4 linked regions of the Diceros bicornis minor genome follow. Each later gene encodes a partner of the first gene's protein in a complex. Links are inferred from orthologs where the notes say so. Each region holds a gene or a part of one and is shown in the gene's direction. Other genes may lie near its edges. The genes, in order: GTF2F1, CTDP1, ERCC3 and POLR2L.

Region 1 (7,434 bases):
GCACTGCTTGGCAAGCCATGCTGTGGCGGCGTCCCATATAAAGTGGAGGAAGATGGGCACAGATGTTAGCCCAGGGCCAGTCTTCCTCAGCAAAAAAAAAGAGGAGGATTGGCGGATGTTAGCACAGGGCTGATCTCCTCACAGAAAAAAATAAAATAAAATAAAGAAAACCCACTCTCGTAACACAGAGCCCCATTTTCTTTCATGTTCTCACTCTGGCAGCCACACGGGTACGAGGGGAAAGCATGCGTTCTGTTCCTCTTAGCATGAAACCACAATGCAAGCAAGATCCTAAATGGTGGAGGATGCTGGGCCTCTGTGAGGGAGGAACTGGGCGTAGGGGGACCACGGTGAGGCAGAGGGGGTATACCCCCTCCACAGTGGAACGGTGGCATGGTTAAAATTGGGGGCTCACAGCCTGACCGCCCGGGCCTAAGTCCTGCCTCCACCTCCTAAACTGTGTGACTCTGGGCAAGCTCCCCAACCCCTCTTTGAAAAAGCGGGGTGCTAACAGTGCGAGACACGTGCTTCTGGAATGTTCCGGAAGATCAGAGTTCATCCGTGCCATGTGTCGAGAACAGCACTGGGCTCGGTAAAAAGCTCGGGATGAGTTCACGCTGCTGTTGCCATGGGGACGTGCAGGCCCCGTGCTGCCAAGTCAGGCAGTTTTCAAGAGAAGCTGAGAGTTTTATGTGGCATCTCCCGATTTTTGAAGGTTGGCCACTAACTTTAAAAAAAAAAGTGTTCAACGCTGCAGAGCGCCTACCTTAGGCCAGGCGCTGGCCCAGGGCGGACGAGGACTAGAAAAATCCACGAGCCCGGCCTTTGCCCTGGGAGGTCCCAGACCAGGAGAGGGAGCCCGTTATCTTCATCACAATGAGCTGGACAGAATGGCTTCAATGGAAGTGGGGACAACGGGCAGGGCCCCACCCACCCATGGGGCCCCAGCCCCGGTGACCTTTGTCTGACTCCCTCAATGCACCTGGACTTCCCTGAAGGCACTTCCCCTCCAATCCAGCCATTTCCAGAAAAGCCCGGAGGCCTGCAGACTGCCAGTTTCTCTCTTCCTGCTCAGCCATGTCCAGACACTCCAGTCATGGCTGTTCGGGTGCCCGGACCGGCCTTTTCCTAAAGTCAGCGTGGCTGACGTGTAACAATAACCTGAAGAAATTCACTCTGACTTGCCCAGCGCCGGCTGGCTCCTCCTTCATCGCTCAGTTGGCCGATGTCCCCGCTTCAAGGGGGCCGCATGGACCATCCAAACTGAAACAGCCCACTCGCGTCCCCCCAGGACGGCATTCTGTCTTCCGTTCTTCCCTGCGCTAACCGCTGCCAGAAATTTCTGTTTTGTTTTGCACATCACGTATTGCTCGGTGCCTGTCTATTGGCATCCTAAGACCAGGGCCTGAGTCTGTCTCATGAACTCTCAAGGACATAGTCTGTTCTCAAGGACTATTTGGGGACAGGTGGTTGAATAAATAGATGATTGAATAACTATATTCCATCTTTATGGACCAGAAATGATGCTAAATCCACCTGCTTCTCAGTGAGCAGTTTATCTACCAGGTGCCAGGAACTGTGCAGGAAGACATTAAAATGACTTTGTCCCTGCCTTCAGCTCACCAGCCACTCACCCCGGGTTCTAGAAGCTTCCAACAATCTCCTGACTGTCCCTTGATAATAGAAAACTCCATTTCCCTCTTGTCATCTCCTCTCTCCTGAGTCTCACCCCTTCTGATCCCCAGCCACGGTGGGGAGGGAGGAACAGCTTCCTCACACACTTTGGGGTCACTCACAATGCGCTCGAACTCCTTGGCCTGCGTCAGCTCCCGGGGGAAGCCGTCGATGAGGAAGCCCCGGCTCTCCGGGCAGGACAACATGTTGTCGCTGATCAGATCTAGAATGACACCCTGGGAAGGAAAGGGGTGGCCGGATTCAGCACCCGGGGGCCCTCGCCTACGCCGTCACCTCGGCCAGTCCTCTTGCTCAGTCTGGACCTCAGGTGAGTTAGGGGAAACACAAGCCCTGCCTAGCACCCGGGATTCTGAATGTGCTCTGATCCCCAGGGGCCTCCGGAAGCGCTTCTGAGAACTGGGCACAGCGACCGTCTTCTGGGTGGGTGTCCAGCATGTGCCAGGCCTGCTGGTCTCATTTATTCATTACTACCACCTGACAGGTAGGCACTGGGTTGACTTAATTTTACAAGTGAGGAAAGGGGTGCAGAAGGGGAATGATATCTATGTCCAGAGTCACAAAGGGAATAAATACTAGCTAATTTTATTGAGCGCTTCTTAAATGCCAGGCAGTCTGCCAAGTGCTTTATAGGAATGATGTGATCCAACCCTCACCACTACAGACTTTTGCTGTGGGTCCATCTGGTGTCCCATTTGACAGCTGAGGACACCGAGGCTCAGCCCAGCAAAGCAGTGGGCAGGCCAGGAGCCACGGCTCCCACAGGGCCTTCCCAGGAAGTTTGTCCCCACATACCCGGTTCTTGCCTCTGCCCCTGCACCCTGGGCTCTCACCGTGGGCACCAGGAGCCCCCGCAGCATGATGTCACGGATCTTCTGGCCCCGCCGGGTGCCACACTGGGCCTCCTGCCGCAGCAGCTGGCCCAGCCCCACGTGGCAGAAGCCATACTTGGTCGCCATGTTCTTACACTGCGTCCCTTTGCCACAGCCTGGGCCGCCCATCACGAAGACGATCAGGGGAGACTTGAGGATGTCTGCGGAGCCCGGGGAAGAGGGAGAAGGGTTGGTGCCTGTAGGGGCCAGCAGGCGCTGATGTGACTGTGTGCACTGCTCAGTGCGTGTCCTTGGGTGACAGTGGACACAGGTCTGCAGGTATACCCACTTCTGCCCTAAGGTGGCATCCGGGGGTGCACATCCACGCCCAATGGTATATCCAGGCATGTCGTGCATTAGTGCTGCTGCAGGTTGCTGTGGAGAAGGATGTGAACCTGAGCAGGCCGGGCCCTTTGCACACAGCATTTCCTTGAAGCACGGCAGTGACTCTATCACCCCATTTACAGTTGAGAAACTGAGGCTCAGAGGGGGGCGGGGACTTGCCCATTCCCGATTCATCCTATACGACCCTCCCTTTCCTTCACTCCGGTCCAGTCCCAGTGGCCTCCTTTCTGTCTCTTGAACTTGCCCAATTCATCCCTCCCCTGCTGTTCCCTGCACCCAGAAGTGCCTGCCCCAGGGCCTTCAGGCCGCAGCTCACCCATCAGGCCTTTTCTAAGCTCTCTCTAAAGAACCTCCCACCCTATGATTCCCTGTCTCAGAACCCCATTTCCTCTACAGCAACAGCCACGATCAGTATTGATTTGCCTGTTTACTCGTTGTTTGTCTCCCCAGCCAGACCCTATACTCCATGAGGACAAGGACTATTTCTGTCTCGCTTCTCCCTATATTACTAGTAGTTGGCACAGTTCCTGACATAGAGTAGTGGGTGAGGAATAAATGTCCACGGCTATCAGACACGTCTATGGAGTGCCATAGTTTATAGTGCAATTCTGGTGTCTTGCTTCCAGCCCCCTTTGCTTAACCAACTCCTGTACATCCCGCAGGGCCCTGCTTAAACCTCCCCTCTTCCCTGAGCCCTCAGAGCCGGCTGCTCTTTCGCTGTGGCAGTCCTGTTCCCTCCTGGGTTGTAGATACCATTTTCTGAGACTGTCTCCTCCACTACACTGTAACCTCCAAGAGGAGAGGAAGCTGGTTTGATATAGCCACCGCGGAGCGCCCAGAAACTAGCACAGAAGGCGCTCCAGTAGATCAATGAATGGCTGATCCGTGAGCATGCGCAGTTGTGTTACTACCACGGTGGGGACGGGAGGGGGAGCGTGTGCACATCTGGACTTGGGGGATGGGGTACCAGGACCTCCCTCCTGCCCTCCACAGCCTCCTTCTCTTCCCCGCAGTAAGCCAGCCACCCCCGCGATGTTACCCTTCTCCTGGGGCCTCAGGGACCTGCCCATCTGGGGCAGCTTGGACTTGCAAAGACCCATCCCGCCAGCGGCCCGTGGGGTGGTCGCGCCCCATCCCCACCCAGTCCCTGACCTCTCCCGGCTCAGCTCAACGTCACAAGGGCCCCTGGCCCGATCATTTAGTGAGATGATGGGGGCCCCCGGGGCAGGGGGAGGAAATGAACCTCGAAGAGGTTCAGGTGGTGGAGCGGCGGCTCGAAGCAGCAGAGAAGGCCTCAGTTGCTATGGTGACGCGGCCTCTTTGGACTCACTTCCGGAGTGGGGAGGCGCATGCGCACGGCGCCCGAGAGGCCGCGAGGAGGGCCAGTTTCTCCCTCCCGTCCCGGGAGGCCCCGCGGTCCTTGAGTGATGACGTCACGGGGAAGGCGTTCCCACACGTCGCGATTAGATTGACGGCGCTATATATAGAGGTCAGCGACAGAAGGCGCTTCCTGTAGCTCAGAGTCGCCCTGGGCTTACCGTTTTGAAAAGGGACAGGGGGGATACATGACAGTGAGTCGAGGGGTCCACGACCGCGGAGGAGGTTGCCATCGCGACGCGGCCCGCGGGAGAGTTTCGCTTCCGGGTTAGGCGGCGGCGCAGGCGCAGACGCGGCAGGAGCTGACGGCCCACGGGGCTCCGCTTCCGGGTAGATTTTCCCAGGATCGGCGGCTTCTCGGGCTCGGGCTCCTCGATCGCGGCCAGAGAGCCGACACCGCGCGGGCGGCTTCCCCGGGACTGAGGGACGCGGACCCCGGGGGAGGCCAGAAGGACCCGGATCGGGCTGGACCCGAGCCACAGACCGTCGCCCATGGCGGCCCTCGTGAGTACGCGGCGGGGATCGGGGGTCCCGGCGGCGGCCTCTGGGGCCCCGCGCTCACCGTCCCGCCTGCTCTCCCCGCAGGGCCCCGGCAGCCAGAATGTCACCGAGTATGTCGTTCGCGTTCCCAAGTAAGTCCTTGACCACATCTCCCAGTCCCCGCAAAAAAGCGATTAAACCTGCCTGAGCCTTTAGGCGGCCCGGCACCGCCTGCGATCCTCCCTCCGGACCGGCGCGACCTGAGGGCGGGGCTGGGGTGGAGCTGAGGCCTCTCTGGTTTTTGAACGGAATGAAAGAATGAATGAGTAGCTTAATACGCAGTACGATGCAGCCCCGTGGCCTAGCATTTCCTCTGCCAGGAATGCGTTTTCCCCAACAGTGACTGTACTGGGGGGATTCTTGTGGATCCTACAAAACCCAGTTCCAGTATTTTCCTCCTCCTCCAGGAAGCATTCCCTGCCTGCCCTCCCCCCTCCCCAGCTCAGAGGTCCCGATTATCCCCACATATTGCGTGCCCCCGAGTCTTTGTCCTTCCTTCTGCTCTTCTTCTGCATGGGTTTGGGAGAGTAGGATCCAGCTTCCCTGACCGACTGGGAACCTCTGGGGTCTTTTGTGGGTCCCCAGCATTGCCTGGCACAAAAGGCTGAGCCCGGGAGGGTTTGTTGAACGAATGATTGATTGACTGACTAAGCACTACCTCTTCTTGCCCACTCCAGAAACACAACTAAAAAATATAATATCATGGCCTTCAATGCAGCCGATAAAGTCAACTTCGCGACTTGGAACCAGGTAAGTCCCGGTTCTAAGGGCGAGAGAGAACCCAATCCTGGACTTGGTGGTTGTAATAGTTGCTTCGTGGTAATAGTAACTAAGGCTTAGTTTCCTCAGCTCTCCCTTAGTGGAGGTAAAATGATGACTAAGACCCAGGCTGGGCTGCTGGGCATCCCTGGAGTAGGATTTGTCGGGCCCCACAGGAGGCCTTCTCCTCAAAGGAGAACATTTAGAAGTTGTGCCCACTGGGGGGCATTTTTGGCCTAAATTTATCGGGGCAAGAGAGGGGGCTGCATTCTACAGATGGTCTCAGAGGCCCCGTTGTCAGAGGCTCTAGAAAGGACTTTGGAAGCTGTCTTAGTCCGTCCATGCTGCTATAACAGAATACCAGAGCCTGGGTGGCTTGTCAACAACAGAAATTTATTGCTCGCAGTTCTGGAGGCTGGAAGTCCCAGATCAAGGTGCCAGCAGATTTGGTGTCTGGTGAGGGCGTGCTTCTTGGTTCATAGCTGGCGCCTTTTTGCTGTGTCCTCACATGGCAGAAGGGGCAAGGGAGCTCTCTGGGGTCCTCTTATAAGGGCACTAATCCCATTCACAAGGGCTCCGCCCTCAGGACTTAGCACCTCCCAAAGACCCCACCCCCAATACAATTATATTGGGGGTTAGGTTTCAACATGTGCATTTTGGGGCGACACAAACATTCAGTCTATAGCAGAAGCCGGGTTTTAAGCAGGGAAGTCGTAAAGTGATCTGGCTGCCGTGGGGTCGAGGGCACATGAAGGGAGAACAGGGCTGGAGGCGACGGCTCTGGTCCAGGTGAGCGATGATGGGCCTGGAGCTAACGGAGGTTGTCAGAAGTGGTTGGATTCCAGCGTGTTCTGGAAGTGGAGCCAACAGGGTTTGTTGATGGATTGGATGTTGAGGGGTGAGGGCCAGAGCAGAATTCCAGACGATTCCATTTACTGAAATGGAAGAGCCTGGGGACAGTGCAGTTTGGACGGAGTGTTTGAGAATTCAGTGCTAGACATCTTATAGTCAAGCTGCTCGTTAGACCTCAAGGAGGAGACAGTAAGTTGGATACATGAGTTGGGAGACTGGGGTGGAGGATCTGGGTATTTGGGGTGGCATCTAAAGCCACAGAGACTGAACCTGCTTGGCAGAGGAGTTGACCAGAAGTCTGAAGACGGCGGCTTCGGACCCTCCCGCAGTTGAGTGACTCCTAGTGCTCATCTTGTTTGTGAGCACAGTCCTGTCTTTCGACTATTTTAAAACATCGCCTCTTGGGGCCAGCCCTGTGGCCTAGTGGTTAAGTTTGGCAGCCCAGGTTCGGTTCCCAGGCGTGGACCTACACCACTTGTCAGCAGCCATGCTGTGGTGGCAACCCACATACAAAATAGACGAAGGTTGAAACAGATGTTAGCTCAGGGTGAATCTTCCTCTGCAAGAAAAAAAAAATATTGCCTCATCCAGTTGAGCCAGTGAGAGGCGATAGCAACCTGCCAGTGTGGACACGCCAGCTGCACACACGTTCATACACAAACTAACACACTTTTACCCTCTCCCCCAAGCCCTGGCCTGGCCTACGTTGTCCAAAGAGGGTACAGTGTTTCCAAATCCCTGATCACTCAGTGAGGGGACATTCTCCATCACTGATCATCCGAGAGACATAACCCACCCATTGGGGGCACCCTGCCCCCCAACACTCTTCACCAAGAGGAAGAACTTGATAAATACCCTGGGAACATACCAGCCCTTGCCCCTCATCCAGCAGGAGAGCCCCCACCATCCCTGAGGACCCAGGGGAGTATATCCTCCCATCACTCACTGGCCCCTTGGAGGGGCCGTGCCCTGTGTCACCAGTCACCTTGAGGATGTC
Region 2 (7,957 bases), on another chromosome or scaffold:
GGATCTCTGCCTCACACCATACACAAAACATCCATTTCTCATTATTTACAGACTTAGCTGTGAAAGACAAACTTCTACAAAGCCCAGGTTAGGGAAGGCATTCCTAAAATTGAGAACTTCTATTTATCAAAAGATCTCATAAAGAAAATGAAAAAGACAAGCCAAAAATGGGTAGACGATGTGGGTAACAGATAATAAAGGCTCTGTATTCAGAAACCATAAGGAACTGCCACAAATCCATAAGACAAAAGCCCAACAGAAAAATGAGTGACGAGCATGAACAGGGATTTCACAGAAAACACAAGGCAAATAAAAAATAGGAAAAGATACTAAGCCAAAATGCCTATTAGGAGAATTCAAAGTAAAACCACAACTTTTAATTTTAACACAGATTTCCACCTAGATTGGCAGAGATTAAGGAGTCTGATAATACCAAATTGTTGAGGATGTGGTGGGAGTATAAACTGAGACAACCATCTTCAAAACTAATTTGGTGTTCATTATCTCATAGATCTGAACATGTGAACATCCTACGACCCACGGTTGCACACTCAGGTCTACACCCTCAGGCATTAACTCCTGTGCCCCAGGAAACACGCAGGATGCTCACTGCAGCACTTCCCATAACACCACAAAGTGAAAACAATTCCAGTCTCCATCTACAAGAAAATGGACAAATACATCCTGCTACATTCATGCAACAGGCTATTACACAAGAGTCACAATAAATAAACTATAATCAAATAAAATAATAAGAACTTGGATACATAGTGATGAACAAAAAAAGCCATTCACAGATAAGAAACATACATACGATGCATTTTTATAAACGTGGAAAACAGGCGTAACTAAACGATAGCTTTGTGTGTACATAGACACACACACAGCAAAACCCCATATAGAATAATGGCAACCAGGAGACTGAAGCTGGCGGCCACGCTGGTGGGGAACTGAGAGGACAAGATGGGATGGTGAGGTAGTTATAACAACACTGGTAATGTTCTAAACTGTAGGTGGGCTGACGGGTTCATTCTAGGATCACAGTCTTTGGTATGTACACAGTTTACGTAGTTTTTAAAGTGGGGAGAGAAGAACACAGGGAGAGAGAGATCCGAGTAAAGCTATGAGACGTGACCACCGGGCAGAGATGTAACTGTAATCCTCACCCATGTCTTTCCCCCATCACTTCTGTTTCACAGAAACATTGCCCCTACTCCCTCAAGGACCAGCTTGCTCTTCACGTATTCCTGGCCCAGCCTGGACCTTCCAACACAGCCCCTCCCTACTGGAAAAGTCAGCCCTTGGTCTCACCTGAACGCTCCACAGTGGTTGACCCACTGACCACTCCCTGCTCGCTGCTCCTCCCCCTTCTCTGCCTATGACATTACTGTAGCCACCTCCCCACAAGAGAAGCTCCCCTCACTTAATGTCATGTACACTGTCCCCCCAGAACCCCCAGGAACCTGCTCACTGGCCCTGCTCTCCCACCAATGGCTGACTTGACTACATGCCCAGGCAACTCAGACATAACAGATTCCAAGGGGACTCATCTCTTCCCAATGTGTCCTGTCTCCCTTTTCACTAACCCATCCAACAAGTAATAAAACCCACTGGTTAACTCAGAAACTCTCCCTGCGACCCTCTCATCTACTGAGATAATCCCAGAACTGGGACATCTACTTCTGGGCTCTCTCTGCCCTTAGCTGCTAGCTTTGACTTAAGCACAGATTGGGTAAGCACATATGTCAGCTCAAAAATTTTTAATGACTACCCGCTGCCTACCAGGGTGGTTCTCAAACCTTGATACACATTAGAAGAACCCAGTGAGCAAAACTCCTGATGCTCCAGCCCCACCCAACACCAATTAAATTAGAATGAGGGATGGAACCGTGGTATCAGTAATTTTTCAAACATCCTAGGCCTGTTCCTCACATTTTTTCCACAAAGGACTCTATTAAGAGAACGCCCAGAACCTCAATCATGATGGATGGTCCTTATGCCTAGAATGCCCATCTCCTCTTCTCCTCATGCCAAGACCCCATCCACTTCTTCTTCCAGGTAGGATGACGTAGGTAGAAACCAGCTATGGCTCCTGCTGCAATAACTTGGGAAAAATAGATAAATGCAAATATCAAGACATCAGATAGGTCTGGAAAGTAACAGGACTGAAAGAAGATTCTAGAGGAAAGAACCATTCCTAGACAAACTTCTTTCTCTCAGTGGCCCTTTCCTTCTCTAAGGCATTTGATGAGTCTGAGCAGTCTGACCTTGAGCTTGACAAAGACGGGGAGACTGGACTAACATGAAGATAACTCCTCTGCTTGGGCTTGCGCGACAGACTGGAAACAGATGAGCCCCAGACACCCGGTGGCTTCCTCACAGGACATTTGCTTACTACTAGGGACACATGCAGGATTGGGGGTATCGCTGGGTTGGCAAAATGGTGTGAAATCTCCTGCAGTTGGAAGTGATTCAATTCCCACTAACAGGAAGGGCCCACAACAGCACACAGGAAGGCTCACTTCTGAGACATCTGAAACCAGGAGTGGACTGAGTCATACCTAAGACTTGAACACAGCCCTGCCCCTAATCAATTCTTGATGGAATGGAGGTGATTGGCCCTTCACCCTGTATGCCTACAGAAGAAAGGCTCAGGCATCCTGTTCCTACGCTTCTTCGGTACAGCGTCTGGCACACTAGTAAAAACAATCCCAACAGCTGCATCCCGTGTTTCTCTAGAAGTCCTGGGGAGAGCACCGGGCCTCATGGGCTAGTGCTGAAGGGAGCGAGCAGAACCAAGGAGTGAGTCCTGAGGATCTCACTGGGCAGCAGCTGGGAGGAGCCAAGAAGGCTCTCTGGAGCATTGCAGATCCGCCTCTTGAGGCTTCTAGACTGTTTGGGGTGACTTTAAGGAGGCGAGGAGCTGGAAAACTTGCAATAGCCAGTGAGCCTGAAAAAATTTGTTCTTTGTGACAGCTAGAGTGACCTGGGCGTGGTGAGAGGGACTGAGCTCCTTTTGTCAGCAAAAGGATTCAGGCAACAGAAAAAAACAAAACGCCAGCACCGCAAACAGGTCAAGATAAGGCCTATACAGCTAATGCGTGGCCTTCTGGCGTCCATTAGGATTGTGAAACACCAACCGCCCCCACGGCAACAATGTGAAAACTGTGTTGCTACTTCCTAGGGAGCAGGGTCCAAGTCACACTACTAGAAGATACATGCTTTCACTCAACAGCGCCAGACTGTGTTAACCCCAGAAAATGATGCTCCTTTGAGTGAGGGTACTTGCTTCCCGGACAACCAGAGGAAAAACCAGCGACAACTCTGTCTTGCTGGGCAGTGTGGCTTCCTTCAACACCCAGCGAGCCTGGACCTGGGCTTTGAAAAAAGCTTCTAGAGAAGGCTGTATGGAGGCTCAGAGGCGGGAGTAAGAAAGCGCTGACGAAGAAAATCCTCTTCGAAGGGTCCGGAGTCCACGAGGCCCCCATAACACCGAGATGAAATCATTTCTGTTTACCTGGTGTAGGTCTACTCCTATTTTCTACTTCCTCTTGAGTCAATTTCCGTATTTTGTCTTTCTAGGAGTTGTTCCCTTCACCGGTTACCTGATTTGTTGGCACACGGTCGCTCATGACGCCCTCGCGCTCCTTTCCACTCCTCTAAGGCCGGTAGTACTACTTCTCCGTCTTGCTATCCTGACTTTAGTCATCTGACGTCCCCTCTTCCTCCATCTAGCTCACGGTTTGTCAAACTTGCTCACGTTTTCAAAGCAGCACCTGCCGGCCTGCAGATTTGCTGTTTTCCGTCGCATCCACTCCTGCCGTGATCGTGACTCCTGCCTCTGCGCCGGGTCGTCCGCCGTTCCTTCCGACGCCGCAGGTCGCCGCGGACGCGCTCCTCGGGGCCCGCACCCGCGCGGCGCAGGCCGGGCGCGCCCGTCTCCCTCCCCCCACGGGCGCTCGCTCGCTCCTCGGCGACCGCGAGCCCTCCTCATCCCGAGCGCCGTCCGAGTGCCGCAAACCGGGATCCGGCGGCTCGCTTCCCGTTTCGCTGACCCGCCCCTCTCCCGCTCCGCGGGAACGGTCACCGGCAGCACACGGCCCGCCCGGAGAAGGCGCGCACACGGAGAGACGGGCGCCCCGGGCCCCCGCGCGTCCTCACTGACCCGCCCCTGAGAGCGCCGCCGTCGAAGCGCCACCCCCCCCCCCCGCCCGGCCGTTTCTCCGCGGCCTCCGGGCTCTGCCGTCGGGGCTCCGTCAGGATGCGCCTGCGCGTGAGGCTCCACAGGGGCCGCCCCGAAGGTGACCTTGAGGGCCCCGGGCGGCCCCGAGGGCACCTCTCCCCTGCGGGCCAAGGCGGGAGGCCGCCCCACGGGGGCACGTCGGCAAGGCGGCGAGGAGGAGGCCAGCGTCGGGGACCCCGAGACACTCGACCGCCGGGGCACATGAGCGACCCGGCGCCCTCCGCCCTCTGACCCTGGACGGCGCGCCGCATGCCGGGACCGCAGCTCCACGACGCCCGCGTTGTATGCCGGGACCAGCCGTCTAACGACACCGAATCTCAGCGCCTGACGAAGCCGTGGGACGGCGGCCCGCATTGCATGCCGGGCCTCGTAGTTCTCACGTCGCCGGGCCTGAGCTCGTGACGGGCGGGGCTGTGGGTCGGCGGCCCGGGTTGCATGCCGGGACCCGTAGTCCCAGGACGCCAGCGACCCTAGGGCAGATGGGGCGTGTGGTGACACTGTTCCTGCCGGGCCCACCCCGCACGGTGGTCCTAGGACGCTTCCGGTACTCGGGCCGGCGCAGCGCCTCTCGCGCCCGCGTGGGCGTGTGTTTACCCGCAGGCCCCTCGGCGTACGCGCACGTACGCGGCGTCACGTGACATCGCACGCCGTCCCGGAAGTCGGCGCGGGCCAGGGCGGCGGGTGGAAGCCGGTGCCGGAGCGGGAATCGCAGCGCCGCCGCCGCCGCTTGGGCCGGGTCGCCCGCCCGCGATGGGCGTCGGGCCCTGAACGCCCGCCCGCCGCCGCGTTTCCTCAGCGACCCGCCGGCCGCGATGGAGGCGCCGCTCGCCGGCCGCCTTCCCGCCGAGGGCGCCGCGCCGGCCGCCGTGGCTGAGGTGCGCTGCCCGGGCCCCGGGCCGCTGCGCCTGCTCGAGTGGAGGGTGGCGGCGGGCGCGGCCGTGCGCCTCGGCTCCGTGCTGGCAGTGTGCGAGGCCGCCGCGTCCGCGCAGCCCGCTGGGCCCGCCCCTGCCCGCGCCGGCGCCGGGGGTTGCGTGCGCGCCGAGCGCCGGTTGAGGTCGGAGCGCGCCGGCGTGGTGCGGGAGCTGTGCGCGCAGCCCGGCCAAGTGGTGGCCCCCGGGTGAGTGGGGCCCGGGGGAGGGGAAGGGAGGGGATGCCGGACCAGGAGAGGGGATGGGGCCGGGGTCTGGAGGGGGTTTCGGGCCAGGAGAGGGGAAGGGAGGGGGCCGGGGTCTGGAGGGGGTCTTGGTCCCGGCACTGGGCGGGAAAGGGTTCCCAGGACTGCAGCTGAAGGGGCTGTGCTCACTGTGCGTTTGCGGGTGTTTCTGAGGCTGGACGACAGTCACTGCTTGTGATTTTATCAAATGCAGGTGTTTGCCTTTAAAAGAATTCTTGAGCCGCCGAAGTTGCACTCTAGGAAACAGTGCGGTCGTTCCTCTTTTTCTGTAGTAGGTGCCTCCCTGTCTCTGAGATGCCGCGTTTGTAAGTTAAGAAAACTCGGGCAGCTCCACGCTTCTCGCGGTGTAAACTGGGGGGGGGGGAGTGCGTTTCTTTAGGTTTGAGTAAATCTTGTGAAGCGCGGTTGTGAAACCTGGCGCAGTTTTGCATCAGAGCTCGGGAAGGGGGTGCAGTCTCCCGCGAGTGGTTCAGGGCGACAGAATAGAAGCACACGCTCCCACCGTAGGGTCTAGCTCTCTGTACGTGCGTTTTAACCTCATAAAGGGCCTTTTTTCTTTTTTTGCAGTGTGTGAATCCGATAGTCTACCTGTCTGAATTTACCGGTGTTGTGCTCTGAGATTTGATTGATGTGTGGGCACAGGTGTGTGCCCGTGGCATGACTGTGGTTGTCATTGTCAGGAGCAGAAAGCCAGGGTAGGTGAGCGTTCCTGCGTGTAGTGATTGGTGCGCAGCTTTCCTCTGCGGAGCCACAGGGTGTCCTGGGTGTTCAGGCCCTTTCTGCCCACGTTGGCCCTCCTCTGGCGCACGGTGCCACTTGCTCTGGTCTTGGCTCCTCTCCCTGTGGCCTGCACTGATCCTCTGGCTGTTGAGCATCTGCCGCCTGCCCTCCACCCCCCAAGAAGCTGATGACCAGGATAGGATGGGAAAGGACTGGTCTTTATCTCAGCCCCAGAATCCTCATCCTGTGTTCCCTTTTCCTAGGTCATTGTTTGGAGACAGAGTCTGGGTCCTCAGCCTTCAGCTCAGGCACCCACGCCTACCCACGGAATGCAGGTGGGGTGGAAGGGGAGCTGCCTCGTGGCACCCTCCACCGGAGCCCCCTGCCTGGCTTCTCGGAAGACAGGGGCTCACTGTGCCGTACATGTGACACTCTGGTATGCTGCTGTTGTTATCTTGGAGTCAGATCTTACCTGACCATCGCTTGCGCCCTAATGAGCCCATAAACCCGTCAGTCCGTAAATTATGGAGGTGAAGCCCAATGCTGTGTGTCGCTGTGTAGAAAACCCTGAAGTGAAAAGCTCTTCTCCGTGTTGTTCTGTTTCTCTGGTGTAGAAGGCTACCAAGGCCCAGACAGGGCAGTGACAGGTCACAGCTGGTGAGAAACACCACATGCATGCTTTGACCCCATCAGCTGGTCTGGCCAATCGCAGGAGCCCAATGCATTGATCTCACCAATCAGCCAGTTCCCAGCTGTGAATAGTCTTTTTCTTTTTGTGTGTTTGGTGTTGAGATCCTGGGGTGTCTCACTGCGGTGGTCTGTCATGGGTTCCTTGAGAGCCTGTTGAGTGGCAGCGTTTCTCCTGGGATGCAGGTGTGAGTGAGTATGAGGAAGGCACCAGCACAGAGCCAGGCTTACCTGGCTGGAGCTGTTGTTGCCATCGTCATCGCTGTCATCAGCAGGATTCATCCTGACCGCATCGGGTTATTCTCTGGCAATGAACAGTTCTAGGAGCTTAGAAATGTTGCATCTGGGTGTAGTGGACATGATCACCCCATTACCGTTGCGACCTGTGGTAAGATTGTATGTGTTTGTAGTGCTTCATGCCATCAGGTAGAGGTAGGAACTATCCTTACTCCACAGACTGAGGAGGGGACTGAGGTCCCAGAGGTTTTGATGTGTGCAGCACCTTACCTTGCTGAGGCCTGCCTCGTTTTCTCCTCCGTGTTGCCCTCTCCTTAGGCCATTCTTCATCCGGAGAGTCTCAGTGGGGGCAAGTAGATAGAATGACGATTTATGTTTTTGTAATATTTGTGTGGGTTAAAATTATCTTGATTTGAAAATATCGTGACAGGGTACCATTTGTCAGAAACCAACTCTGTTAGTTATTAGTTTACCTAATGATGTCCGTCCTTGTTTGCTCTTTTGTCTGTCGTCATTGACTGGGAGATGCTGAAGTCCCCAAAAAAAAGGAAGATACGTAAAATAATCAGGGAATGAGTTACCATCGAGATGGGTAAGGAGGAGGCTGTGGGAGCGTCTTTGTTCTCAGTGGGCGTCTGACCAGCTTTGTCTGTGCCCCGTACCTGGTTTGTCTGCAGGAAGAAAGTCTGCCTCAGCCAGTCTGGGGTGAGCGCCGCCGGAGAGCAGGAAGGAGGATTGCTGGATAACGTGAAGGCCCAGCCGTCGCAGTATTGCTGTCTCCCTTGCTCTGTAGACTGAAGAATAAGGAAAACAACCTGCGATTAGTACCCGGTTTTAGGGTTCTAAAATTAGGTAGTGACGGTTTTTATTAAATTCTAAACACAGTTCAGTCAGTG
Region 3 (7,533 bases), on another chromosome or scaffold:
AGTATATTAACTGTAATCACCATCCTGTATGTTAGATCCCCAGAACTTAATCATCTGCTAACTGAACATTTTACTCTTTGACCAACATCTCCCCATTCCCCGCCACCCCCTAGCCCCTAGTAACTACCACTCTACTCTATGTTTTCATAAGTCCAGATTTTTTTAGATTTTACATATACATACAGTATTTGTCTTTCTCTGTTTGACCTATTTCACTTAGCATAATGCCCTCAAAGTCCATCCATATTGTCGCAAATGGCAGGATTTCCTTATTTTTCATGGCTGAATAATATTCCATTGTATATATATATACCATATCTTTATCCATTCATTCCTTGACAGACACTTAGGTTGTTTCCATATCTTGACTATAGTGAATAATGCTGCAATAAACATGAGAGTGCAGATATCTTTTCGAGATCCTGTTTTCATTTCCTTTGAATATATATCCACAAGTGGTATTGCTGGATCATACAATAGTTCTATTTTTAATTTTTTGAGGAACCTCCATGCTGTTTTCCATAGTGGCTGTACCAATTTACACTCCCACCAGCAGTGCACCAGGGTCCTCTTTTCTCCACATCCTTGCCAACATTTGCTATCTCTTGTCTTTTTGATGGTAGCCATTCTAACAAATGTGAGGTGATATCTCATTGTGGTTTTCATTTGCATTTCCCTGATGATTTGTGATGTTGTGTCCTTTCATGTACCTGTTGACTATTTGTATGTCTTCTTTGGAAAAATGTCTGTTCAGTTCCTCTGCCCATTTTTATATTGGATTGTTTGTTTTTTTTGTATTGAGTTGTATACCGTCTTTACATAATTTGGATATGAACCCCTTATCAGATATATGGTTTGCAAATATTTTTTCCCATTCCATAGGTTGCCTTTTCATTTTGTTGATTGTTCCTTTTGCTGTACAGAAGCTTTCTAGTTTGTTGTAGTCCCACTTATTTATTTTTGCCTTTGTTGCTTGTGCTTTTGGTGTTATATCTAAAGAATCATTGCCAAAACCAATGTCAAGGAGTTCTTTCTCTGTTTTTTTTTCCTATGAGTTATATAGTTTCAGGTATTATATTTAAGTCTTTAACCCATTTTGAGTTAACTTTTGTGAGTGGTGTTATTTAGGGGTCCAATTTCATTTTCTGCATGTGGTTATCCAGTTTTTCCAACACTATTTATTGAAGAGACTATCCTTTCCCCATTGAATTTTCTTGTCAAATATTAGTTCACAAAATATTTTTTTGTTTTTATTTTCTTATTTTTCCAGATTTATTAAGGAATAATTGACACCTAAAATTATATATATTTAGGTGTACAATGTGATGATTTGATATATGCATACACTGTGAAATAATTACTACAATCAAGTTAATTAACACATCCATCACCTCACATAGCTAATTCATTGTGTGTGCGTGTGTCTGTGTGTGTGTGTGTGGTGCTAACTCTTAAGATCTACTCTCAGCAAATTTCAAGTATACAATACATTATTAACTACAGTCACCACGCTGTACATTAGATCTTTAGAACTTATTCTTCTTATAACAGAAAGTTTTTACCCTTTGACCCATCTACATTTAAAGTAATTATTGATAAATAAGAACTTACTATTGCTTTTTGCTAATTGATTTCACATAGTTTTGTAGTACTTTTGTTCCTTTCTTCCATCTTGCTGTCTCACACAAAATATTTTCTTAATGTTAGATTAGCCATTCTTCCTCATCATCTTCAGTAAAATTAACCAGGTTTGGCAGAAAGAGCTTTAAAAAAAAAGGCCATATGTTTAATCCACTATTTCTATTTCTCAGAATTTGCCTTAAAAAAACAATCCCAGATGCAGTTAAAGACTTATATCCAATGATATTCATCACAGGGCTATGTATAATAGGATAAACTGGAACTATCCCAATGCCCCAAAATTAGGGTTTGACTAAATAAATTATAATACTGCCATACAATGGAAAATTAAGTACTCATTAAACATTCATTTTAATGAGGGGTGGATAAAGCTTATGTTAGAAGGATATAAAATTATATGTTCAAATAACATCTTCATGGTGTAAAAAGAGCAACTCACAGAAAAAAAGCCTGGAAGAAAATAACCCAAAATGTAGATAGCTAGGGATAGTGTTATCCATGATTTAAATAGCCTTTGCTATGCTTTTCTCTGCTTTCCAAGATTTTTACATGGCATGTATTACTTAAATCAGAGGGAAAATATAAAAATGCAAAAACCAGTTTTACAGGTGTGGTTCTGGGGCCAGCCCGGTGGCGCAGCTGTTAGGTGCACGCGCTCCGCTTTGGTGGCTCGGGGTTTGCAGGTTCGGATCCCGGGCGCGCACCGACGCACTGCTTGTGAAGCCATGCTGTGGTGGCGTCCCACATAAAGTGGAGGAAGATGGGCACGGATGTTAGCCCAGGGCCAGCCTTCCTCAGCGTAAAGAGGAGGATTGGCATCGGATGTTAGCTCAGGGCTGATCTTCCTCACAAAAAAAAAAAAAAAAAAGGTGTGGCTCCTCCACTTCTTGAGTAAGTGAAATTCATTTAGGGCAGAGACCAACAAACCTTCAATTTACTGAAGGTCATTAAGCTGAGAAGTGATCTCTACATTGCCAATCCTGTGGCTGGGTCTCAGTCTTCAATTTGCTCAGCTGATCAGCAGCATCTAATATAGCCGATCACTTCCTCCACCTTAAAATGAAATGAAATAAAAGCAGGACTTCCAGGACTCCTGATTTTCCTCTCCCACTGACTGCTCCTCAACTGGTGTTGCCCAGTTCTCCTTCATCTTCCAGCCTCTTCACTGTGAAATGTTCCAGACCTTTGCTTTAACTACATTCATTCCCTAGGTAACCTCAATCAGTTCTATAGCTTCAGTACCACCAATAGGTTGACAATTCCCAAACTTATATTTCTAGGTCCCTGAACTTTAGACTTACATCCAACTGCATTCTTGACACTTCATTTAATTGTCTAATAGGCCACTTCTATGGACTGAATTGCATCCTCCCCAAAATTCATGTTAAAGCTCTAACCCCCGACGTGACTGTATTTGGAGACAGAGCCTGTGAGGTGATAAAGGTTAAATGAGATCATAAGGGTGGAGCCCTAATCTGACAAAGCTGGTGCCCTCATGTGAAGAGGAAGAGACACCAGAGAGCTTGCCTTTCTTTTAACTCCCATGTGAGGACATAGTGAGAAGGCAAGAGGGTGGCCAACTGAAGCCAGGAAGAGAGAAAGATCTTCATCTTGGACTTCCAGCCTCCTGGCTGTGAGAACTGTGAGCTGTGAGAAAATAAATTTCTGTTGTTTAAGTCACACAGTCTGTTACAGCACTCCAGCCAACTAATATAGCCACTCACATTCAAAATGTCCAAAACACCTTTCAATCTGAACCTTCCCTAAGGTACACCATTTTTGCAGTTGCTCAGACCAAAAACCTTGGAGTTCTCCGTTAGTCCTCTCCCTCACTTTCCATATCCAGTCAGTCAGCAAATGCTGCTCTAACTTCAAAATATATTCAGAACGGAATCACCCTTCATCACCTTTATCCCTACCACCCTGGTAAAGCCAACAATTTCTCAACTGGAGGGCAGCATTAGCTGCCCTTGACCTTATAAAGTCTATCTTCAACATAGCAGCCAGTGTAGAGTGATCCTTTAATACTAAATCAGATTGTCACTTCTCTGCTCAAAACTCTCCAGTGGTTTCCCATTTCAAAATAAAATCCAAAGTTTTTGCAATGGCCTACAAAGCTCTACATCAGTGGTTCTCAAACGTAAGCATCAGAATCTTCTGGAGGGCCAGACTGTTGGGCCCACCTGCAGAATTTCATGATTCAATAGGTCTGGGATGGGGCCAGATACTTTGTATTTGCGCCTTTCTAATTAGTTATCACCAGTTTCCATATGATGTTGATGCAGCCAGGGGACCCCATTTGAAGAACCACTACACTACATGTACTGTACTATGTCCTCTCCCCTACGTCTCCCAGCCATACTGCTCCCTCTCAGCCTCCTCTTCGACGACGCCAACCCTGTGTCGGCCTCACACCTGTGCCCGCACTGCTCCTCCCTGGTACTTACATAGGACACTGTCTCACTTTCTTCAGATCTTTTGCTGAAATAACACCACTTCAGAGGTTTTCCGGGACCACTCCATTTAGAATGACACTACCTGTCACTGCGGGCCGTTTTATTTCTCTTTAGAGCTCTTAGCACCGTATTTGTTTACTGCCCACACCTCTCTACTAGAACTTAAGCGCCAGGAGGCCAAGGGCTTGACATTGTTCACTGTCCTACCCCAGCGGCTAAAACAGTGCCTGGACGATCACAACAGGTGCTCAACAAATATTTCATTGACTGACTACAGCAAAGAATGGGGAGAAAGGAGCCTCCGCCAGGGTCACACCACACACGCTGCTCGGCCGCCACGCGCCGTCGCCTGCCCGGCGACCCGGCACCCAGAGGCGGGACTTCCTGTGTGGTTGCCGAAAGAGCTTCCTGTGTGAACCGGAAGTCTCCCTGGGACCTGTAGCCGCGGCGGGCCGGCGGCGGTGGTGGACTGGGGCTGTAGCCGCCATGGGCAAAAGAGACCGGGCGGAGCGCGGTGAGACGCGGCGGGGGCGTGCCTGGGCCTACCTGCACTTGCCGTCTCCGTCGTCCTGTGTCGTAGCTGCCCCGCGCTGCTCGACCCCGCCGCCCCTCGGCCTGCACACCCGTGTCCCGACGGGCCGCTGGGCGGGGGCGAGCTTGGGTCTTTGGGCAGCCCCGCGTCCTGCCGGGTGGGAAGGTTTGAGGGAGAGTCGCCCCGGCTGCAGGTGGACCCCTCTGGGAGTGCGTGGCGCTGGTGGCAGACGGCTGCGGTCAGGTTCCCCCGGAATGCAGCTGGGCGGTGCGGAGGGGACCCTGGGCTTCTCCTGCCCGGCTCACTTCTGTGTCCGCATCTGCAGATAAGAAGAAGTCCAAGAAGCGGCACTATGAGGACGAGGAAGAAGATGAAGACGACGCCCCCGGGAACGACTCTCAGGAGGCGGTGCCCTCGGCGGCCGGGAAGCAGGTAGATGAGTCCGGCACCAAAGTGGATGAGTATGGGGCCAAGGACTACAGGCTGCAGATGCCGCTGAAGGACGACCACAGCTCCAGGCCCCTCTGGGTGGTAAGCATGCTCTCAGCCAGGCAGGGCCCCAGAGTCTGTGGGGCCAAAGTGGAAATGCAGGGTAGTGCTCTTAAGGACTGGCTGGAAGAGAGCTTTCCTACACAGTTTGAACAGCCCGAGATGGGAATAAGCAGGAGGGATGCACACATGGGCCGGCTAGACGTGGGCTTCCTTCATCTCTAACCCCTCCTTTTACTCCCCTTCCCTCGATAGTTCTACTGCATATTTGGAAATACTTTTATCTACCAAATAAATGGCATTTATTATGTAACATTTTAGTTCCTCGTTTTTATTTATTTTTTATTTTTATTTTTTTTGGTGAGGAAGATCAGCCCTGAGCTAACATCCATGCTAATCCTCCTCTTTTTGCTGAGGAAGACCGGCTCTGAGCTAACATCTATTGCCAATCCTCCTCCTTTTTTTTCCCCAAAGCCCCAGTAGATAGTTGTATGTCATAGTTGCACGTCCTTTTAGTTGCTGTATGTGGGACGCGGCCTCAGCATGGCTGAACAAGTGGTGCGTTGGTGCACGCCTGGGATCTGAACCCCGGGCTGCCAATAGCGGAGCGTGTGCGCTTAACCACTAAGCCATGGGGCCAGCCCCAAGTTCCCCATTTTTAAAAATTAATGGGAGACATATATATGTATATATTTGGTAGGCAACTTTTTGCTCAACTTGAAGTCATTAATGTTCTACATTTTATTTGAAGTCTAGCCCAAAGGGAACTTGAGGAGAGCCAGTAAGGTAGGCTTTCCCTGTGAAGAATAGTGGGAAGCAGCTACTGACTTTGAAAACCTTTACTTCTTTTCCTCTCTGTTCTTTGTATCTGATTAAGTAACAGGCCCCCCAGTTGACTGAAGGAGTGCTTACAAAAATATCCCTGGTGTTGAAACACTTAAAGATCACTTTTGGGGCAGCTTATCTCTTCTAGATAATGATAAGAGAAAGAGTCTAATAATCTCTGCAACTCATTAGTTTCCTTGTCTGTTGTGACGGTTTGGTGTTTCTCAGGCTCCTGATGGCCACATCTTCTTAGAAGCCTTCTCTCCAGTTTACAAATATGCTCAAGACTTCCTGGTGGCTATTGCAGAGCCAGTGTGCCGACCAACCCATGTACATGAGTACAAACTAACTGCCTACTCCCTGTATGCAGCTGTCAGCGTTGGGCTGCAGACCAGTGACATCACTGAGTACCTCAGGAAGCTCAGCAAGACGGGAGTACCTGATGGGATTATTCAGTTTATTAAGGCAAGTGGAGGCTGAGGCTGGCTCTTTTGCCCTACTTGTCAATGTGGTAATAGTGGAGACAGGTGCTACATTTTGTTAACCTGTGGCGGTCATGAAAATGCCATTCAGAGCTAGTGTGGGGAGCATAAAAACTGATTACCCTAGCTGCTGCTTCTCTGGATCCAGCATTGTGTTCTTGCTGAGGCCACACTTACCATGAGCTGCTGTTAGCCAGTGGGTACTAACACAGTGGGGGTAGTAATTTAGGCCCATTCTGGCCAGGGTTATTTGGGAATGCAGTGCAAAGTGAATGATGTTATGGACTGAATTGTATCCCCTCCAAAATTCATATTGAAGCCCTAACCCCTAATGTGATTGTATTTGGAGTAAGGAAGTAGTTATGGTTAAGTGAAGTCATGAGAGTAGGGCCCTGATCCGATAGGATTAGTGTCCTTATCAGAGGAGACACCAGAAGACTCATGTGCTCTCTTTCTTTCTTTGCACATGCACAAGAAGAGGTCATGTGAGCACACAGCAAGAAGGTAGCCCTCTGCAAGCCAGGAAGAGAGCCTTCACTAGAAACTGAATCCCTGGCTTCTTGATCGTGGACTTCTAGAAATAAGTTTCTGTTGTTAAACCACCCAATCTGTGGTGTTCTGTATGGTAGCCCAAGCAGACTAATACAGGTGGTAAACTCCATCTAAGGCTGAATACCTGCACCAATGGTCACAATTTCCATTAGGGAAAGTCAAAAAGAACTTCAGATGTTGAAGTGGGTAGGGTTCCATGTGAAGAGCACCTTGAACATGCTTGGGTTTGTTCTGAGAGATACGTGAATGCCATTTAGAAGAGATGGACGGTGGCTTTTGGTGCCCTCTGCTGGTCTAAAGGGAGTTGGATTCAGACCCCTAAATCTGGAGTGGCAGAAGATGAGTGCCATAGGCATCCAGCACAGTAATGTATCCAATCTCAGAGAAGCTGGCAGGAGCCCTGGAGAGAGTTTTCTCTTCTTGTGTGTGGAAGGGTGCCCAGGGAGAAGGGCCTGCACCTCACTGGAATGAGCCTACATCAGCACCCTGGTTGTGCTCAGTCTTGGCTGGGAGCTGCCTACAGGAATGTAGGTGTTGGTGCAGTGCTGTGATGGAT
Region 4 (6,698 bases), on another chromosome or scaffold:
AGCCCACAGCAACATGCCAGAAGCCAAAAAGCACGCATCACACCCAGCATCACACAGGCCTGAGGCTGGGTCTGCATGCCCTGTTACCCCCAGACCTGGGCATCGGGAGATGGGCCTCCTAGGCAGGCCCTAAAGGGCAGACCACCAGCACCTCTCATGGCCCCCCAACACTCCTGGGTCCTCACATATGAGGAAGACCCATGGCCAACACCAAGCTGAGTGTGGACGAGACCACTGCCTGGCCACACTCCCAGCCCCGAGCGCAAGGCAGCCCCTGGACCCTCTGTGAATGAGCTGCAGCCCTTCTGGCCTCCACAATGCCCCTTCACGAAGGGCCCCGACCCCCATCCTATGCGGCCCAATGCAACACTGCAGTCAGGGCACGGGTGCAGGGGCTGGACAGGCCCAGGGCTGGCTCCCTCCCTCCCCAGGCCCAGCCTCCTCCTCCAGGACACCTCCCTGCCCCACTCAACGCTCTAGGCTTCCTTCGAGAGCAGAGACCAACACGTCGTCGCCCCCCAGAACGGCACACGTAGCAGGGAGCAGGGATGGGGCTGAGCGAGAGCCCCAAGACAAACACCCCCACAGCCTGCCCGCCCTGAGCTGGGCCTCTGGACTCTCCATGGCCCCTGGGTGGGGGCAGGTGGGGGGCCCCGAGGGACCGTGAGCCACACCTACCTGGCTAGACCAAGGTCCCATTCAAATAGAAACCTCCCCAAAAGCTGAAAGAGCGCTTGCCCACGCGGACTTGGAGGACTTGGAGGCCTGGAGCTGATGGGTGGCTGCCAGTGGCATGACCCACCCAGAGCCTCAGCCGCGAGCAGCAGCAGGGGCCTGGCCCAGGAGCACACATACAGTGGGGGCAGCTCAGGGTGGAGAGCAGAGCGGAGCCCGCCCACCCCGGGCCCCCAGGCCGAGCCGGCTCTGAGGCGGCTTTGAGGAGCCAGGGCCCCGCCAACACAAACAGGCCTGTGGTGTCCGCCTTCCTGCTGCCTGCCAGGCCCCAATGCCCACCCAGGCCCCGACCCTGGGGGAAAGGCAGGCTGGTACCCCCTCCACACACAGAGCCTGGGCAGGGCCCTCTCCCCACACCCAATCCACAGCCTCCCGGGCTGGGAGACACTCGCTCCAGTGGAGGGGTCCCTAGGGGAGGGGTCCCCGTGAGAGACGCCACCCAGAGGCCCCCAGTCTCTCCTCCTGGGCCCACCGAGGCCAACCCCAAGCTCAAAGCCTTGCCTCCTCACCCCCCTCTCATCCTCCCACCCTCAGGTATTTCTCTGCTAGAGGCCACGTGGAGGAGGGGGTGGAGGAGACACAATTAGGACCTGGGAGTGGGGGGAGCCTTCCCACCCACCACAGGCCCTGGGAGCACCCTGCCTCAGGTGCCCAGTGTGTGCCCACCTACCTTGCACAGACGTGCCCACCCGGCCCCGTGCCACAGAGATCCCTATAGAGCAGTACCCTCAGGGATGTCCGGAGGGTCAGTAGGTTAGGGCCATTTTGGCCTCAAGCACATCTGCAAATGCCACCACTCACGACTCCACATTCCCCAGAGCCCAGAGCGTTAAGTACTGGTGTGGCAGGCAGTGACCTCGCCCGACCCTGGGGAGGCGTCTGAGCCTGTATGCTCACCCCACCCGACCCCGCACGCCCCCTGTGTGAGCCCACATCTACCAAGCAAGCAGGGCCAGGGGCCGAGCCTGGGACCGCACGCCTGCACAGCCAGGATTGGGACCCTCCCGCTGGGCAGCTTCTGGTTCCACCCACACTTTACAGACCAGGAAACTGAGGCTGTGACCTAGGACCAGGGGGCAGGGTGAGCCCTCTCCCAGGCTGGGTCACCCCTGTGGCCAGCCTGTTTCCAGGGCAACCCTCAGGGCTGGAGGGTCTCAGCAGCTCAAACTCCAATCGCTGATTTCCCCTTGTCCGGTCTGCCCTGAAGTGACCCCCTCCGGCAGGAAATGAGGCTCAGGGGTTCCAAACCACACATTAGCATGGCCCTCCTTCCTCGAGCCCCCACCACCGGGGCGGGACAGTCCACTCTCAGAAACCGCGCCCCGCTCTCCCGTCCCCATCTCCGGCCCTCCCCAGAGGCCTAGGCTCCACACACACCCAGGGGAGAAGCTAGGGCCCCCACCTACCCTTGCAGCAGACACGGCCCCACCCCCAGCCCACCACCTCCTGCCCCTGCCCACCCTGAAGAGAGCCCGGCCCACACCCCAGCCTGCTCCTCCCAGAGCGTGTGCACACACACACACACAGACATACGACCACCCAGGCCCCGGCAGCAAGGCAGGGCTGACCTCTGAGGCTCCCCCAGGGTCCTCTGGTCCAGCCTGAGCCACAGCAGAGTCAAGACGGGAGGATCAAGGGCCCCAAGGAGCCTCCGTGCACACGGGTGTTGGGAGTACGTGCACAGGCTGGGACAGCGGCAGCCACGCTGCTCCCCATGGCCTCTCCTGGGAACTCAGGGAGCTGGAGGAGGAGCTCAGGAAGAGGAAGCCGGCCACCACCCCCAAATCCACACGCAGCGCTCAGAATTCCAGGAATGTCAACTTGGCTCTGGCCAGCATCAGGGCGGGAGGCTCATTCCCCTCACTCTCTCGGAGTAAACAACTGCTCACGAGTCAGGGCTGGAGCAAGGGTGGGGCAGGCCCTGGGCCCCTCCTCCAGGAAGCCTTCCATCCCCCCCTAGCTCCTGAATGTCCACCCAGCGGACATCCCGGAGCCCCTCCCCTGTCTCCCTCACCTCCACAGCCACCGGTAGCCTCTGCAGCTGAGCCCGAGTCCGACTCCAGGCCACTGTGACTCAAGGCCCCCGTCTTGCTCCTCTGGTCGGGGACAGGATGTGCGTCCAGTCAGCCTGGGGGAGGGCAGGGAAGGGAAGTGGCCTCAGCTCGTGGCTCTGCACGTGGCAGGGTGGGGGATGGCAAACGCCACTGGGGAAGCTGTCCAGAGCCCAGGTGAAGGTGGGGACACAAATTCCAGGCAGGCAGCAGCTCTGGCCAGCCCCACCCAGGACCCAGAGGACCCTCCATCTCCCTGCTCCCCAACTGAGGCCAGAGTCCATCATCCACCCTGAGAGGGCAGTTAGCTGATGCCTGGGACCCAACGCTGGCCCCATCCCAATCAGAGATCCAGACACCCCAGGCCAGTGAACATGCCCAGAGCCTGCACACGCAAGTAAGTCATAGGCGCCACTTTGTAACACATCCACCCCCTACTGCCCAAAGCTCACCTCCTCCAGGGAGGTTTCCCTGCCTCTCACTACACACTGCCCTCCCTGCAGACCCCAGCCCCGGGATCACCCGCTCAACCCACCCCATTTTCAGAGACACAGCCTCCCATCCCTTTAAATCCTCCATGGTTCCTGCCCCATGACCTCGAGCTCCACCACCTCCTCTGCCCTAGTGCAAACCTGTCTCCTTGAGCTGCTCTGCAGGTACAGCCTCCAGGTCTCTGCCCGAGGGTTCCCTTTGCCCGGATCTGTCCTGCTCTCTCACACACTCAGGCTCGCCCCTGGGGAAATCCTGTGTTCTTCAAGGTTCAGCTCAGGGGTACTTCTTCGAACACACTCTCCCTGACCACCTTCCCTAGCCTCTGCTCCCCTCGGGGTCCTCAGAAGTCCGATGCCCTCAGATCGCGGGCGATCCAGCGCAGCCTGGCCTGGGACAGGTGCAGACTCATCCCACACCCCCTCCCAGCCCCTTCCCTGGGAAGAAGAGAGGAGCCGCCGGCCCAGCCCGGCACCGGCCCGATTGCTCCCAGCGCGCCCTCAGCCGTCGGGGCTGCAGGTAACTACCCGGCTGGGACCGATACTATGCGGGGGAGTAGGCTGGGCGGTGCCCCGAGGGGCCAGGCCGCGGCTGGGAATGGGATCCCCAAATCAGCTGCAGAGACCCCCCAGGCACTCGCAGGAAGAGGCTGCAAGCAGGAAGACCCTCGTCCGGGCCGGGCGGGAGGGGCAGCGGGAAGACCTGCCCGTGGTCGCCCGCTCCCACCGGCCTCGCTGGCCGGTCAGCCCCTTTCCGCCCCGCAGCGCGTCTCCGCGACCCCGGCCCCGGCCCCGCCACTTGTTGCTGCGGCTCGGCTCGGGGCTCCGCGCTGGGGCACGAACTCCGCGCCGGCTCGGCTCTGGGCCCGCTCCTGGTCCTGGGCCCGGTCCCGGTCCCGGTCCCGGTCCCGGTCCCGCTGCGGCGGCAGGACCCCGGCCACATCTTCCAGACCAGCGCAGTACCTGAGCGCGCCGTCTGCCCGCCGCGCAGCTGTCAGTCATGCGGACACGAGAAACGCGAACCGCCGACGACAACCCTTTAAGGCCCCGCGCGGCCGCCGTAGGCCGGGACGTACTAAAGCAGCGGACGGGGTGGTGCCTCCTGTTCCTGCCGCTGCCGCGCGGGGCCCGTGACCTCCGACCCGCGCGGAGGGAACTCGTGGCGGCGGGAGACGGACGCCGGCGGCGCCAGGGGCGGGCAGGGCTGGCTGGCGGCGGCCGGGGACTGGGCGGTCACCCCCCGCTCTATAGGCGCGCCCGGGGCGGGGCGGTCACCGCCTGCTCTATAAGTGCGCCCGCGGCGGGCCCGGCGCCACACGCAGAAGCGTCGCCGGGCGGTACGGTTGTGCTCTTCTGTTCCACAGCCATGATCATCCCTGTGCGCTGTTTTACGTGCGGCAAGATCGTCGGCAACAAGTGGGAGGCCTACCTGGGGCTGCTGCAGGCCGAGTACACCGAGGGGTGAGGCGCGGGCCGGCGCGGGAGGGGAGGCTGCCGGACCGTCGGCCTGCGGGCTGCGGACGGGGTAGCGGGGTCCGGGCCTGCAGGACGGGGTCGGGGTGGGGGGTCCCGGCCTGCGGAACGGGAATAGGGGTAGGGAGTCCCGGCCTGCGGGACGGGGATAGGGGTGGGGGATCCCGGCCTGTGGGAAAGGGACGGGGGTGGGGGGTCCCAGGCTGCGAGCGGGGAGTTGGGAGGGTCCCGGCGTGCGAGGTGGGCAGAGGCACTCATCAGATGCCAGGTGATGCTGCAGTTCCGAGGTACCTTCCAGCCTGACCTTCCCTCAGGACAGCGTTGCCTCCCACTGCCCGCCAGCTTGGGGAGAGGTGGGGTGTTGGGCATCAAGCAACTGGTGTCTTGGGGACACCTAGGTATGCTGGCGGGTTACCGTGCCTCTCTACCACAGTTAAAACTCTCAGCCTCCTCTCCCTGTGCTTGCTTCCTAATCTTGTTTCTTTGTCATTAGGTCCACATCTGTACCCGGCAAACCCACTTTCCTTTTAGGACGGAGGATAAGCTTTGTGACCACACAGCCGTCCTCATCAGGCTGTTGTGGGTCCCTTTTCTGTGCTTGCCCTTTAGCACTACAGTTACCACCATGCCTATTCTAGTCTCTCTTCCCTACTAGAGGCTAAACTTTGGGCCCTGTGTGGACAGCCCTGTGTCCTAATCAAATTTGAACCCCTGGGGCTTGGGGCATGCCAGCACGCCATAGGCTCTCAGTGCAAGTATGTTGGATGAACGGGGAAGCCATAGGTGGGCTGAGTGTTAGCGCCAAGCCCTGATGAGGCTGCTAGTGACGAGAGTGCTAGGGAATGGCTGGCAGCCTGCATGAGACCCCTTCCCTGGGATGCCATGGGCAGGGACCTCCCAGCCTGGCCTCCTCTTTCCCAAACTACTATCTCTGCTCGTTGGAGGCAATGATGTGGAAATATTCAGGCCTTGAGGGTGACTGGGGCTGGGTCGCAGGGAAATTGAGAGCTCTAATTGGCTCAGGAAATGAGAGAGGGGGCTCCCTGGAGTGGAGTGGGGCTGAGGAAAGATCCCACAGCAGCTGAGTGGGACTGAGTATGGCCTGTGCACGGCCCTCTGTCTGCCAGGGACTGCCAGGACAAACTGACCACAGCCCGTTCTCTCCTTGCCGGCAGGGACGCCCTGGATGCTCTGGGCCTGAAGCGCTACTGCTGCCGCCGCATGCTGCTGGCCCATGTGGACCTGATCGAGAAGCTGCTCAATTATGCGCCCCTGGAGAAGTGACTGCGCTGGAGTCTGCCCGCCCGCCTGCCGTGCTGACCACTTGCCCAGGGTTCATTCCACCCAGGGGTGGGCAACCAGGAGCAATGCCTGCCCCCAGCTGTGTGGGCGTGCGTCTCCCACTCTGGAAGGAATCATCCAGTAAAGGTCTTGGCAGAACCACAAGGAGGTTCTAACAGTTGGCCTGGTTTTGTGGGACTTCCCACCGCCTGCATTTCTGTGTCCTGTCTCATGCCTGAGGCCCCTTGGGGGTGAATGCAGCCCTCACTGCCCAGGAGGCGGGAGAGCCATCCAAATGGCAGCTGCTCCTCAGCCTGGAGGGTCTCCCTCTGGGGTGTGTGCTGTCACAGCCCAACAAAGCCACAGACAACCAGGAACCCTGGGGGTAGGGGAGATGCCGGGGGGACACTGGCATCCCCATGCCCAGGTTCTGAGCCCCCTTTAGGCAGAGCACAGAGGTCCCCACATCCTCTCTCCCAGGATCTCAAGAACCAGATTTTCTGGGCCCTGAATAGAGTGCCCACTGTGGTCATGGCTGTCCATCCTGAGGGTCCTGCTGCCAGAAGCTTCCAGGTTCCCCCCAAGCCCAGCAGGCCCCTCCCCTTGGCCAAGTTCCTGCCGAGGGCGAGGAGCAGGGCCTGGCCTCCAACAACCAGCCCTGAGACCCCCA

Evidence for each region.
Region 2: the proteins of GTF2F1 (region 1) and CTDP1 are in contact, whole or in part, in an NMR structure (PDB 1ONV), measured with the Homo sapiens proteins. The link is inferred for Diceros bicornis minor from reciprocal best matches to the Homo sapiens genes GTF2F1 and CTDP1. Residues at the interface, in NP_002087.2 of Homo sapiens: Thr470, Lys471, Leu474, Gln478, Ser486, Thr489, Val490, Leu493, Ala494, Leu497, Lys498, Leu500, Asn501, Pro502, Arg504, Met511, Phe513; in NP_004706.3 of Homo sapiens: Ala946, Asp947, Met949, Ala950, Lys951, Ala952, Leu953, Glu954, Glu956, Leu957, Asp959, Leu960, Met961.
Region 3: GTF2F1 (region 1) and ERCC3 share a complex: the UniProt entries of both Homo sapiens proteins name them as parts of the TBP-based Pol II pre-initiation complex. The link is inferred for Diceros bicornis minor from reciprocal best matches to the Homo sapiens genes GTF2F1 and ERCC3.
Region 4: GTF2F1 (region 1) and POLR2L share a complex: the UniProt entries of both Homo sapiens proteins name them as parts of the TBP-based Pol II pre-initiation complex. The link is inferred for Diceros bicornis minor from reciprocal best matches to the Homo sapiens genes GTF2F1 and POLR2L.

The regions. Positions count from the first base shown.
Region 1 is NW_026691615.1:1,989,663-1,997,096, forward strand, and holds the start of GTF2F1 (general transcription factor IIF subunit 1), read left to right. Parts: upstream 1-4,422; 5' UTR 4,423-4,778; coding exon 4,779-4,790; intron 4,791-4,871; coding exon 4,872-4,918; intron 4,919-5,503; coding exon 5,504-5,576; intron 5,577-7,434. Other genes in the region: adenylate kinase isoenzyme 1-like, read right to left, coding at 1,797-1,910, 2,526-3,083. UniProt on the Homo sapiens protein: TFIIF is a general transcription initiation factor that binds to RNA polymerase II and helps to recruit it to the initiation complex in collaboration with TFIIB. It promotes transcription elongation.
Region 2 is NC_080755.1:67,832,304-67,840,260, forward strand, and holds the start of CTDP1 (RNA polymerase II subunit A C-terminal domain phosphatase), read left to right. Parts: upstream 1-4,943; 5' UTR 4,944-5,055; coding exon 5,056-5,360; intron 5,361-7,957. UniProt on the Homo sapiens protein: Processively dephosphorylates 'Ser-2' and 'Ser-5' of the heptad repeats YSPTSPS in the C-terminal domain of the largest RNA polymerase II subunit. This promotes the activity of RNA polymerase II.
Region 3 is NC_080749.1:5,633,437-5,640,969, forward strand, and holds the start of ERCC3 (general transcription and DNA repair factor IIH helicase subunit XPB), read left to right. Parts: upstream 1-4,517; 5' UTR 4,518-4,583; coding exon 4,584-4,611; intron 4,612-4,954; coding exon 4,955-5,160; intron 5,161-6,171; coding exon 6,172-6,408; intron 6,409-7,533. UniProt on the Homo sapiens protein: ATP-dependent 3'-5' DNA helicase/translocase. Binds dsDNA rather than ssDNA, unzipping it in a translocase rather than classical helicase activity. Component of the general transcription and DNA repair factor IIH (TFIIH) core complex.
Region 4 is NC_080770.1:1,179,195-1,185,892, forward strand, and holds POLR2L (DNA-directed RNA polymerases I, II, and III subunit RPABC5), read left to right. Parts: upstream 1-4,586; 5' UTR 4,587-4,640; coding exon 4,641-4,735; intron 4,736-5,922; coding exon 5,923-6,031; 3' UTR 6,032-6,196; downstream 6,197-6,698. UniProt on the Homo sapiens protein: DNA-dependent RNA polymerase catalyzes the transcription of DNA into RNA using the four ribonucleoside triphosphates as substrates.